Linked DNA regions of Coturnix japonica. The protein of the gene in region 1 interacts with the protein of each later gene in a pairwise test. Links are inferred from orthologs where the notes say so. Each region holds a gene or a part of one and is shown on either strand. Other genes may lie near its edges.

Evidence for each region.
Region 2: the proteins of FAM214B (region 1) and FHL5 interact in binary tests that used the Homo sapiens proteins (3 or more experiments, as listed by UniProt). The two-hybrid records come from large-scale screens. The link is inferred for Coturnix japonica from reciprocal best matches to the Homo sapiens genes ATOSB and FHL5.
Region 3: the proteins of FAM214B (region 1) and KIF20A interact in binary tests that used the Homo sapiens proteins (3 or more experiments, as listed by UniProt). The two-hybrid records come from large-scale screens. The link is inferred for Coturnix japonica from reciprocal best matches to the Homo sapiens genes ATOSB and KIF20A.

Annotation. Positions count from the first base shown.
Region 1 is NC_029547.1:7,891,684-7,895,850, forward strand, and holds the start of FAM214B (protein FAM214B), read right to left. Parts: upstream 2,801-4,167; 5' UTR 2,722-2,800; intron 290-2,721; 5' UTR 207-289; intron 1-206. UniProt on the Homo sapiens protein: Transcription regulator that may syncronize transcriptional and translational programs.
Region 2 is NC_029518.1:66,290,340-66,294,405, forward strand, and holds the start of FHL5 (four and a half LIM domains protein 5), read right to left. Parts: upstream 2,801-4,066; 5' UTR 2,688-2,800; coding exon 2,604-2,687; intron 1-2,603. UniProt on the Homo sapiens protein: May be involved in the regulation of spermatogenesis. Stimulates CREM transcriptional activity in a phosphorylation-independent manner.
Region 3 is NC_029528.1:11,877,661-11,881,684, forward strand, and holds the start of KIF20A (kinesin-like protein KIF20A), read right to left. Parts: upstream 2,801-4,024; 5' UTR 2,780-2,800; exon of another isoform or gene 2,619-2,779; intron 2,479-2,618; 5' UTR 2,472-2,478; coding exon 2,310-2,471; intron 1,323-2,309; coding exon 1,233-1,322; intron 1,122-1,232; coding exon 1,002-1,121; intron 553-1,001; coding exon 414-552; intron 325-413; coding exon 137-324; intron 54-136; coding exon 1-53. Other genes in the region: BRD8 (bromodomain-containing protein 8), read left to right, coding at 2,886-2,904, 3,254-3,350, 3,958-4,024. UniProt on the Homo sapiens protein: Mitotic kinesin required for chromosome passenger complex (CPC)-mediated cytokinesis. Following phosphorylation by PLK1, involved in recruitment of PLK1 to the central spindle. Interacts with guanosine triphosphate (GTP)-bound forms of RAB6A and RAB6B.

The DNA.
Region 1 (4,167 bases):
AATACATTGCCCTTGAGCTTGCAATGTTGCGCAGGGCTCAACAGCCTTAGCAGCACAGGTGACAAGAACCCAGGCTCTGCCAGCCCAGTGACACCTGCTGCACAGAGGGATGGAGGAAAGGCAAGAAAAAGGGATTGTGGTCCCAGGCCTCCTCAAACAGTCCTGGAGGAGGAAAAAAAAACAATACCAATTAAACAGGTGCTAACCTGAGAGTAGGCAAAACAGAACAGCAGCTCTCAGCATCTGCAGCGTGGTTTTGGGGATGCTTGTTCTGGCTCTGTTGGGTCACCTGGAAAGACAAAGGCAAGGTGCAGAGATATGTGTTAAACTCAGCAGATAAATAATCTGCCTCCACAAGACAACTTTCCCAGCACTGTCTGGTCACATTCCAAGCCAAGAAGTTTGACAGCACATGCACAGAGCTGAGAAGCCCTGAGCAACCCAGTACTGTGATGATTCTCTTTGCTCTTTCACCCTTTCTAAGGCTGCCCCTACAACCAGGCTCCTGCCACTGTCACCCCAGTCACCCATGTGAGTCCAGGCTGGTCTCCTCAAAGAGCTAGAGCTGGATTTCAGACAGCACTGCTGCAGTCGAGCACCTTATATCAAGCTTAGTGAGATGCCATGGCTTTATTCCTCTCTACTTCTACAGTTGCACTTTGCTCCACCTCTGTGGGTGCGCAGAAGAAGGTTTGGGAGGAACCAAGATTTCCAAGGAAACTTCTGACTCAAAGAAAAGAGAAAACCATTGAGTTTGTGGGACCAGGTTCGCCGGAGCTTACAGCCACCTGACTCGCTCGGTCAAAGCAGCAAAATGGAAAAACAAAGGAGAAGAGCAGGTCAGAAAAGATGGCTCCAGGGAGCAGAGGGGGCAGGTGCTGCAAACAGGATGGATGGGAAACGTGCAGCTGCTTTACAGGGACCCACACGATCCACCACAGGAAGGGTTGCTGGGTGCAGTGCCAGGTGGAAAGCAATCAGAATCCCCCATAGAAGACTTTAACTGCCAGTCACCCACAGTGACACTCTGTGAGCCATCTGTTAACATACAAATAGTTCCCTTTGGGATTTCACCCACATTGCCCTTCACACCTGTCCAGTTTCAGACTCATTAAGCCCTCCAGCCACTGAAGGATTCAATAACTTCAACACAGTTACGATGACCGCCTTCATGAGAATGCTATTTTTCAAACCAATATGGCTTCACTTTTTCCTTTCTCATCTTCTGTCACACACATAGGTTGACACATCTCATTCTGTACGCAGAGAATCCTTTGGAGCCCCAGACACCATGTAAATCCTCACTGTGTGACAATGCTACCAAACCTCGTGGGAGAAGAGATCAAGCAGCCCACAATGACAAAGGCAGGGAAAGGAATGGGGATGTGTTGGGAGACTTAGAATCACAGAATAGCTTGGGTTGGAAGGGGCCTCAAGGACCAACCTCCTGCTGTGGGCTGGCTGCCCCTACCAGATCAGGCTTCCCAGGGTCCCATCCAACCTGGACTTGAATGTCTCCAGGGATGGTGCACCCACAGGTCCTCTGAACAGCCTGTACCGTTTTGAGCCTTGCAACACTGACTTTCAGGAGTCAAACCAGCAGCCACCCCCTCACAATGCCTTTAGACTCAGGGACAGTGACTAAGCCTGAAAAGAACAGGTCTGGGTGTCCATGCCCTCTGCCAGCAGCACAGCAAGGCTGAGGCTGAGTACAGCAAAGCCTATGAGCTGCCCTTTCTTTCGAGGCCAGCTGAGTTTGGTGGGGGAGCTCCCTCCCCTGTACTCAGGAACAGAGAAGACCTGAAACTGCCAAGGGAATGCGGACTGGGAAAGCTCAGCACGTACTGCAGGGAGCACACATGGCTTGGGCATCGAGATCAGATGAGGGGCTGCCAGGGCAAAGCAACCATCCCACAGGTAAGATTAAAGCTATGCTGAGGAAGAACAGAGCACAGGGAGCTCCCCGGCCCAGCCAGCTGCCAGGTGAACCGTGCTTGAAAGCGCTCCCACAACCCGGCACGGGGCACAGCCAGCAGTTTCCCTTCCCGCAGGAAGCCCTTCTGGCGTGCAGGCTCACAGCAAGAAGCGAAGGGCCGCGAGCCTCGGCCGGGAGCCAGAGGACGCTGAAGCCGCGTTGCAGCCGCAGCGTGACCCAGAGCCCGGCTCCCGCTCGGGGCCCCACGTCCCGGCGCTGCGGAGCTGCCGGGAGGCGCTACCCCCGCCGGGCCCTGCCCGGAGCCGGCACACAGCGGCACTGCGAGACAGCGGGCAGCGGCGCTTCGGGGCGGCCGAGCCCCGCGGGTCCCAACGCCGTTCCGAGGGGCTGAGCCGCCAGCAGCCGCACACACACACACGGGGCCGTTTCCTCCCGGCTCCACCTGCAGCACCCCGTACCCTCGGTGCCTGGCTGCGCTGAGGCCCGGCTGCCCCGTCCCCGCTCGCCCTCCCGAGCAGCAGAGGGCAGCAGGGCGCAAAGAGCCGGGATCAGCCGCGTCCCCCCAGCCGGGCCCTGCAGCGCCGGTGCCACGGAGCCCCGCAGCCACGGCCGCAGGGCGGCTTATAGCGAGGGCCATTGCACTGCAGCCACCCCCGAAGCTTCTGGAACCGACGGGGCGCATTAACCCATTCACCGCCGGGCATCGCCCCCCACCCCCAGTGCTCGGTTCGGTTCGGCCCGTCCCGGCCCGGTTCCAACCCATAATACCGCCCCGCCGGACCCACCAGCGCCCCCTCCTCCTCCTCCTGCTCCGCCGCGGCCCTGAGTGCTGCCGGGCTCCGGCCGCTCCTTCCGGGTGTCCGCCAGGACACGCCCCCTCGGGCCGCCTCTCGCCTCTGATTGGTGCTGAGGGCGGGACTCGGGGACGGCTGGGGTCCGGCGACCAATGAGAGTGCGGGGAGGGGCTGACGGTCAGCCCTGTAGCCCCGCCCCCTGCCCGCCCCCTCCACGTGCGGGTGTGTGATGACAGCGGGGACGGGGCGGGCGCGCACAGCGCGGCTCCTCATTGGCCGCGGGCGGAGGGGGCGGGGCCTGGCGCGGGGCTGGGGGGGGGCGGCCATGGCCGGGAGCCCTCGGCCCGGCGGCAAGTTGAGCTCAGGGCCGGTCACACAGACACAGCGAGTCACAGACTGCAAACTCCATCCTGTCAGAGCCTCCATCCTGTCAGAACCTCCATCCTGTCAGACCTGCCGTGAGCGCTGCCCCACACACCCGGCCTGCAGCCCAACACATCCCCGTCCCCACAGACCCCACAGACACAGCGTGTCCCCTCCATGAGCACAGCCTGTCCCAGTCCCACACTCTCAGCCTCACAGCCCACAGACCCCCATGGACACAGCTTGTCCTGCCCCACAGACACAGCCCCACCAACACAACCCCTCCCAGTCACAATCCCCTGCGTGCTCCACTCCCTATGGACATGCCCCACCTCAGGCCTAACCCCACAGCCACAGCACTGCCCTAATTCCAGCAGATTCAGGGCCATTTAGGGTGTTGTACACAATGAGCACCACCACAGCTGTGTGCTCACAGGTACACGTCTCCTTACTGCTGTTTTGGGGCCTGGCAGAGTGGGTTTGGCCTTCTATCCTCAGCCCTGTGCTCATGGCTGGAAGCTGCTCGGTGTTAACAAATGGTTAATGAGGCGTTATCAGCCCGGAGAACACGAGTGATGTGCTGGTTTGGCCCCTCGGTTGCTGAGAGATGTGGGCTCCTTTGTCCTCTGCAGGAATAATACATCTCTATGTGCTGTGTGGGCAGCGGAGGATTAGCGGTATCCCACGTTATTTACCTCCCATTTAGGAATGCTTAGGGTTTGCAAGCGATGTCCCTGCCAAGCACAGTCTCTTGGCAACCTCCCCTGGTTTGCAGAACATAACTTCAGCTCCAAAAGCAGGATTAAGGAGCAGGACATGAGAGCTCATGCTTGCAGGCTCAGTGGGGTGAGGGTGCCTTTATGTTTAGAATAGGCACATTCCACTTTTTCATTCTCTCCATTTCCCTGCTCGCTCACTGCATCGTGGCTGTTTGTGAGTGGATGGACACGGGACAGCTTTGGACAGTGGCTCAGAGGAGATGTGGAAGCTGTAAGAAGCACTTTCCACCCACGGCACAGCACCATCCCTGGCCATGTCTCTGCTGCCAGCAGGGTGTTTCCCCAGGAAGATGAG
Region 2 (4,066 bases), on another chromosome or scaffold:
TGAATTAGGAACTGCAGAGGTCACTTGAGAAACACTCCTCATATATACATGTATTACCTAACACTGCTGCGGGCTTCTGATCAATAACTTAACTCTCTGATATTTTTCAGTCTTCTTTTCAAAGACTTCAGAATGCTTTTCTAATGATAATGCAGTGAAAACACAGTGGTGAGACTTGCTCAAGGTCATAGAGCAGACCTGCAGGTATGGGAAGGCATGCAGCCAGTCTTTACGGCTTTGCCATGAGGCAAATCTGGTTGTCAGGGTGTAGTCATAGCACTGGCCTAGGATGGTGAAAGCACCATATGAAACTTGCCAGATGTTCAGCCTCCCATGCCAGCTATGACTTAAGGGATCTCAACAGGCTGCCTTATCTGGAATATGTTGAGATGTGTAAGGAATTACCAGTCCTAATATATGAACCTAGAACAAATTCAAACTCGAAGGCAACCATGGTTGACAGGGAAAGTAACCCACTGTTATGGAATAAGTAAAATAAAACAAAAAGATAAACCCTCTTAATTTGAGAAAGGGAAACAGGAGGGGATAACAGCTGATATATACATAGTTCAATCTCAGGAAAATGGGGATATTACAAAAGCTAACCTAAGCCTATCGAGGCTAACTCACAAGGCACTTTTTATAGTTATGGGAGAGAGAAAAATTCCTCTCCAGAGTGAGAAATTTAACTTAGTCATTATCATGGAGGCAACCAATGCAGATAAGTTAGTCTTTGTAATAATCTCTGTTACAGAATTTTATGTCATGAGGTTTTTTTATGTCATGGGGTTTTATGAACTTATTTTTAGATATCGGTTCATTGTTTTTGTGAGTAATGTCTGCATATTTCTACAAAATCGTCCTTACTTCATCCCTCTTACACTTTATTGGAAAATATAAATATATAAAATGAGAAGCTCACAGCCTCTTAACTAAAGCTAGGAGATTCCCAGAAGAATAATTCCACTGCAGGACCACAAATGGAATACCAGCAGCATTTCCTTAATCCAATTCCCTAACTTTGTCTCTAGAGATTTTAATAGAAAAACTGAGCTGGAAATCATTATCTTCATAAACATCCTATACTTAAACATAAGACATCGTCTTACTCTTAAGTGACAGGGAAACATGCAGAAAAACTTAGGTCAGTTTTACTCTTTAGGCAACATAAAAGCCTGACAGAGTCCACAGATTGTTAAGCTGAGAGGAGCGCTGCTCATCTCAGCACAGTCAGGATTTCACCCTCTGATTCTAGCCCAGACATTAGGAAGCACTCTGGTGAAGATTGTCATGCTTCTGTCTGTTCATGGTAAGGCAATATGGAAAGTTTTAAACATAAAACTCAGGCACGGAAAAAAAGACATGTAGAAAGCTGGGCTTATTGCTTTATGGAAGAACTTACATCTCACCAAGTTAACCAAACACGCTTAACAAAATGTGATTTGCCTGCAAATAACCTGGAGATACCAAAGGTCACAATAGATCAGAATATCTTTCAAGCAGCTTTTGCTTTCATTTGGCTCTAATCTTGCAAGAAGGTTAGTGTGTCACCTCAAGTTTCTACCAGTTACACAAGTGTGAGTCAAAGTGACTTTTGAGATACTGCAATCAAATGTATGGCAAGTCCGTCAGCGATCTGTTGTAACATTAATAGATCAAATCTGTCTTGTTCTGTTAAAGCATTTCAGAAATGGCAGCTGTTCACAGAAGAAAAATATTAAACACAACGAAGGCATCTGAAACTTGTTTTCTAAATATAAGAGAGTTTGTGTCTGGCTCCAGGTGTAAAAACAGAACCTTTGACAAAAATGTTTTCAGCATTTCCTTTGACCAAAATGGAAATAATGTCTGATAGTTTCCTCCAAAATTAATTGTTATCAAAATGATTGCCACTGTGAACTCAGGTATCAGCACAATTAATACACGTAGTCTTTAAATTACCCTTTGTTACCTCTTGCAGTAGGCAGTGTTACAGCCTTTTGATTCTCTTCTCCTTTAAATTCCAAACCAACCAAGGTTATATGATAAAAATGTGACATACAAAAGAAAACATCTTACTGATGCAGAATATTGAGATGCTACATGACTTCCACAACAAGTTAAAATATTGATAGAAGCACCAGCTTGGAAACTGGTTTTACTTCAAAGACAAACCAAGAACACTCCATGTTAGGCAATGATGATATTTGTGACTTAACAGGCACCACGTTAAGCATTTGCAATTTGATTTTAAAAGGCACTGCTTTGCAACATTTCTTGTGATTGCAAATAGCTACGAAGGTTTGCTAAAAGATAGAAATGATTCAAATGTCATAGGAAACAGTATATACAATTTTCTTGGCTTGTTCTTTGGAGTAAACAGAATTAACCCCCCTCTCATGACAAAGGAAACAACAAGCAACGTTCTCCCACATTAATGAGCGAGCCAGTTCATAAAACAAAAACTATTTCATCTGAAAAAGTCTGCTTTCTCTTCTGGTACATAAAGTCAAACATTTCTTATATCTGCATAGGTTCTGCATACAATTTAAAGAAGCAGTAGCCATTCAAATTCGCAGTTCTATCACATAAAGGGAGTAAGGAAAATGAGTTTCAATACTCACATTTGGTTTTAAGCTGCTTCTCCTGGTAAGTTCTGCAGCAAAATAGAGGAAGAAATAATTACACGTCTTCACAGAAACAAGCATTCATCAAGTCCAAAAGAAACAGAACACTTTGCCAGAGCTATTTGAGGGTCCCATCAGAATTTGGCTGGATGGAAGGCTGAGGGTCAGTTTGTTTCCCTGAGACCTCATGACATGCAAATAGCTCGCTGCCTCACCACTGAATCATTTTTTGACATAGTGCACTTACAAATCACAAATACATACCGTGTAGGAGGATCTTAAAGGAACGTATTTCAGACAGTTGTCAAAAAGGTACTTCTGTTAAAAACTCAAAAATCAAAACCCTTAAACTCTTTAGCAGAAAGAATAAATAAAATGATGGATCACCATCCGTCCCCAGCTACACTGTGGCCCACAAAGGAGGAATCCAAAAGACTTCACTTGGGCTTGTAATTCCGAGAAGGGAAGAAGTTGTGATTACTAACCTATGACTGTTGCGTACAGGAAATGGGGGTGGGTGGGAAGGAGAAAGACTTCTCCAATTAAAGGAAAGACTTCTGGGGACTGAGCTGAATTCCTCTGACACTACTAAAGCGATTTCTGGGCTGGAACAACTTGCCTCGCTTCCACTACACAGGAAATGGCTTGTAAGGCATTACCATCCATAGCGTTAACAGCCCCATCCAGGTTCTCTCTCAGCATCCCTCAATTCTGGCCTACATCATACTGCAGTCATCTCTTGTTGATTGGACAGAGGGACCAGATAGCTTTTGTAGGCAGTCCATCACATACATGATGCACACAGAGCATATACTTTGCACAAGACTTTCTAACATCTCCATAACGTCAAGTGGGAGAGAACTGCTTCGTACCACAGACAAAAGAAAGAAGGGAACATTTCAAACATATGTCATGAAGATTTTGGCAAAATTGGCAAATCTGGACAATGAGTTCTGGTGGTTACCCATGTGTAAACAGTATCTTGCAACTAAGACTGATCATTTGGTTGTTACTGCTAAGAATTCATCATCACTATTCACAGCTGACTGGTTTATTAAACCTCCGCACACACTCACTTTGTGTATTTCTTCTATACAAACTAGATTGAACTCTTTTCTCCTGTCTTTGTACAAACTATAAGCTTTGTTTATGCCAAACACTTTTAATGCTGATTTTTCAAGCTTGCTAATTTCGTGGATTGGGAAGGGAGAAGACAACTTAGGTCCAAATATGAGGCCAGAAAGTGAATCATCCTTTTGCCTTTACTTCCAAAAAGAAAAAGAAGCTGAAAGCACGATTCTTGTTCAAGTACCTTTTGAAGCCCACAAGTCAGAGCAAGCAAATATTATCCAAACTGATCTGTCAAAAAAGCTAATGACACTGCAAAATAGTTCCAACACAGAATGTTCTTTCCAAAAAGTTTGAAAAGCACAGGAACATCCTTTAGCCGTTGCCTGCCT
Region 3 (4,024 bases), on another chromosome or scaffold:
TGAAGCTGAGATTCGGCACTGTGACTCCTTTTCAGTGATGTTAACAGCTCCTCCTATGAGGAAACAAGAAAAGCCATGACCAGGTGGTCGAACATCATTCATTCCCTAGTAAACCTCCTGGAAGCAATGTACTTACCTCCCACAAGCCCCCTCGCAGCATGCTCTGTTTCTTGGTCTCTTCCTGTCGAACCTGCCTGCTGTCCAGCCAGATCACATCATTGCAGAGCGAAGGCTTCAGGTCCATAGATTGGTACAGACGGTCCCCAACACTATTGAAGATAACAGCTAAGGAACGAGGCAGAATCCCACCATCTTTGATGCTGCCTGAAGAAAGAACAGGAAGCCATGGATTCAACAGAAATACATACATACAGCTACTTCAGATGTCTGCTACCACTTCATACTCCCATTACCCTGAATGGTGTGAGTCTTCCCTGAATTGGTGTTGCCATAAGTGTAAACCAGCCAGTTCTGCCCATTCAGTACATCCTTTACCACCTCTTTCATTGTTTCATCAAAAAACAATTTCTGCCCCACATCTGGTCCAAAGATCTGCAAAAAAACAACACAGAAAACAGCCTTATGTAGATCCTTCCTACTTTTTAGACTGCAGCTGATGGTTCAAATACTGCTTAGTCCTTAATGAAGGCCTCCATCCTCCACCACCACAAACAAACCTACCAGTAACTCCAGCCTGAGAGCCCTATAGAAACAGACCGTTCACTTGCTTAGTCCAGTAACACACAATATTACTACAGTCTTCATCATATTTAAATCTTTATTAACAAAATAAGAGCTTTGCATTTGCTGCTGAGGCTTGCAGAATCTATTTCAAAATAGATAAATCAATAAGGAAGACATCAGAAATGAGTAGAGAGAGTAACACAGCTCATACAGAGTACTGCTATTAGTAGTAAAAAGGCAGCTTTTTAAGTAGTATTGCTGGTTTAAGCTCAAAACCCTCTTAATTGGATTAACTGTTGTCTGTCCCAGTTACCTACCTGAGTAAATGAGAACCTATGTGCTGCTTGTCCCACTCCACGTTCTGTGCTCCGCATGGTGAAGGAGTCTTTGGGGGCTTTTAGAAGAAGGGTCTCTGAACTCTCAATGAAGACACAACCCTGAAAGAAAAAATAAATCACAGTGGCTTACAAGAGGTTATGACATGACAGCAAAGGAAAACTGGTTCTCCCAGTAAAGGACAAACACAAGTGGTTTATCAAGGATCTCACCTGGTCTTCCCCTTTTTCCAGCTCTGTAGGTTTCAGGGGTCGAACTCTCAGATACACCTTCAGTTTCCCATTAACATCTTCAGCAGTAGCCTGCAAAACTTGTACAGGTTAAACACAGCAGCCAGAGTGACAGTACACAGCTATCTGCCAGGCCCAGAGCAATAACAGGAGTCACTGATTGGAAGACACACAGTTACTCCATAATTCAGAAGCACCACCAGAACATCTTTCCATACATTTCCACGTTCACCAACATATCTTTGCCTTGTGTAGTGAAGCAGAACAAGAATCCAAAGACATGACACCAAATCCAGCCCTAGAACTGAGCACTGTGACTTGCAGAATCAAACTCTATAATCCAGAGATGGGTTATAAAGCAGGTATGTTTATCACAGCGTTGTGCAGCGCCGGGTGCAAGGGGGATAGCTCCTCCAAACTTGCACACCGTAAGGAGAAAAGTGTGTTAGATATATAGGTCAAGCTAATACATAATCAATAGCCTCCTCCTCAGTTTGATTACATATTCATTACATTCCCTATGGCCTCATTCCTCACAACCCCATTCCTTCATTCCTCCTGATCCCATTTCCCACAACCTTTGCTGTTATTATGGGGTGAAATTCTTCTTCTGTTTTCTTCTTGGTGTTATCTGCTGTTATTGTTCTCCCATGTCAGCATCATCTTGCCCGGGGGGGGGGGGATCTAATCCTCCTTGTCAGAGGTCTCCGGACAATTTCTTCTTATCTTTATTGCCCTCTTCTCTGGCTTTATTTTGACTAAGTGTCTGTCATTCCCCCTTTTCCTGCATTTTTAAATGTAAACTATCTACATTTACCCTTTGTCTTGGTTTCTGTGAAGTTCCCTTTTCCCTTAGTATAGCAAAGCGTTACCTTGCCTCCATTCTGGGGGCTTTGCTCACTCTTCACTGAGCTAAGGGGCATCCATTAATTGCGCCCTTCATTAGTAGGCTGCAGGTAACAAGAGACTCTTCTTGACCGTGTAGTGGAATTACTTAGCACTGAGCACAGAACACAGCCCTTATGACACACAGTGCGGGTAATAGGGCTCCATCCTCACCTGCTGGCTGCCCTCGAGACCAGGGGAGATAGCAGAGAACTCAGACAGCAGATCCTTGCGCACATCAGCACCGAACCCTGCAGCCGTGGATTCCAACACGGGGGAGGCGGCAGCACCATCATCATCAGAGAACAGCCCCGGGGACAGCAGCGCTCGATCCATGGCGACCCTGAGGGAAGGAACGAGGTGATGGCAGAGCAGCGAGCAGGCCCCAGCAGCACACAGCCCCAACCTTCGCTCTACACACGCACAGCTGCGGACAGGCCGTTACACAGCGCTCGTTCCCCACCCCCCGGGGTCTCTCCTCACCCCCGGGGCCCGTTCCCACCTCTCGGCCCGTTCCAGCCCCCCACAACCGGCCGTTCCCCGTTCCCCGCTCGCACCTCCCGGCTGCGCTGCCGATACTGTTGAGGTTTCAAACCTCGCCGCCCGCTCCCTCCGCCAATAGCAGCCCGCGGCTTCGTGCTCACCAATCAGAAGCCGTGTTCAGACAGGAAGGGCGGGGCTTTGTGCGCTCGGTGCTCCCGGCGGGCTGTGCGCAAAACTCCGCCCCGCCACAGCTCGGCCGAGGGCAAGATGGCGGCGGGAACGGGGAGTGAGTGAGGGGAGAGGGGGAACAGAATCGGTGGGACCGGGGAGGAGGGACGGAGCCGGTCCGCAGGCACGGTGATGGGGCGGGGGAGAGGCCGGGGAGAGGCCTGAGGGGGACCGAGGGAGGCTGAGGGGGGCTGAGGGGAGGGGCGGGGCCGACGGCCGAGCGGGGGTGGGGCCGACGGGTGGGGGGGCGGGGTCAGGTAAAGGGGGCGGGGACAACGGGCTGAGGGGGCGGGGCTTCGCTCCGAGGGGGCGGGGCCAACGGGTGGGGGGCGGGGCTTCGATCCGAGGGGCTCCTGCCGTGGGGTGCTGCATTGTGCTGCACTGCATTGTGCCCGCTGTCCCAACAGAGCACAAGCTGCTGAGCGCCGGCCCCACCGAGCCATGGTCCATCCGAGAGAAGCTCTGCCTCGCCTCGTCCGTCATGCGCAGTGGAGACCAGAACTGGTAAGGGGTGGGCACAGTGAGCTTCGTGTTATGGGTGCTGCGGGTTGGGGTGTTAGGTATGAGTCTGGAAATGGCTCTGCTGCTTCTGGAGTAGTGTGTGAAAAGGGATGTGTATTAATTGGTACGGAGCACAGGTTTGTAGGTTGAGTTATAGTGTGTACTGAGTTGGAGTGGGCACTCAGGGCTCACTGAGTCCAATTGACTCCACACACAGCCATTCAAATTCAGACAGGCAGCATTATCAGACACTTCTTAAACCATAGCAAGCTTGAATAGGAAGAGTTGCATCCAGGTAACACGTGCAAGAGCCATGTTTGCTCTTCCTGTGCTTGGTTTTGCTGCCTATTATCTCCCCACAAAGGGAAGTTTTCATTTAATTTATTAGAATGTGATTTTCAGAGCAAGAAATGGAAGCTCTTGCATTAGGAGTAGGCAGATACTTTTGAGTCTAGAAACCACAGTTGATTAACTCCTCTTAAAAAACTCCATCTTGGTCGATCCATTGTGTTAATGGGGACTGTTCTGTGATGAGAATTAAGACACCTTTTCATAGTGTGTTTGTTGGGGTGGGTTCATTGAGCAGTCATGTGCCATTTCTGCCCTGCAGGGTCTCAGTCAGCAGAGCCATCAAACCCTTTGCAGAGCCAGGCCGCCCACCTGATTGGTTTTCCCAA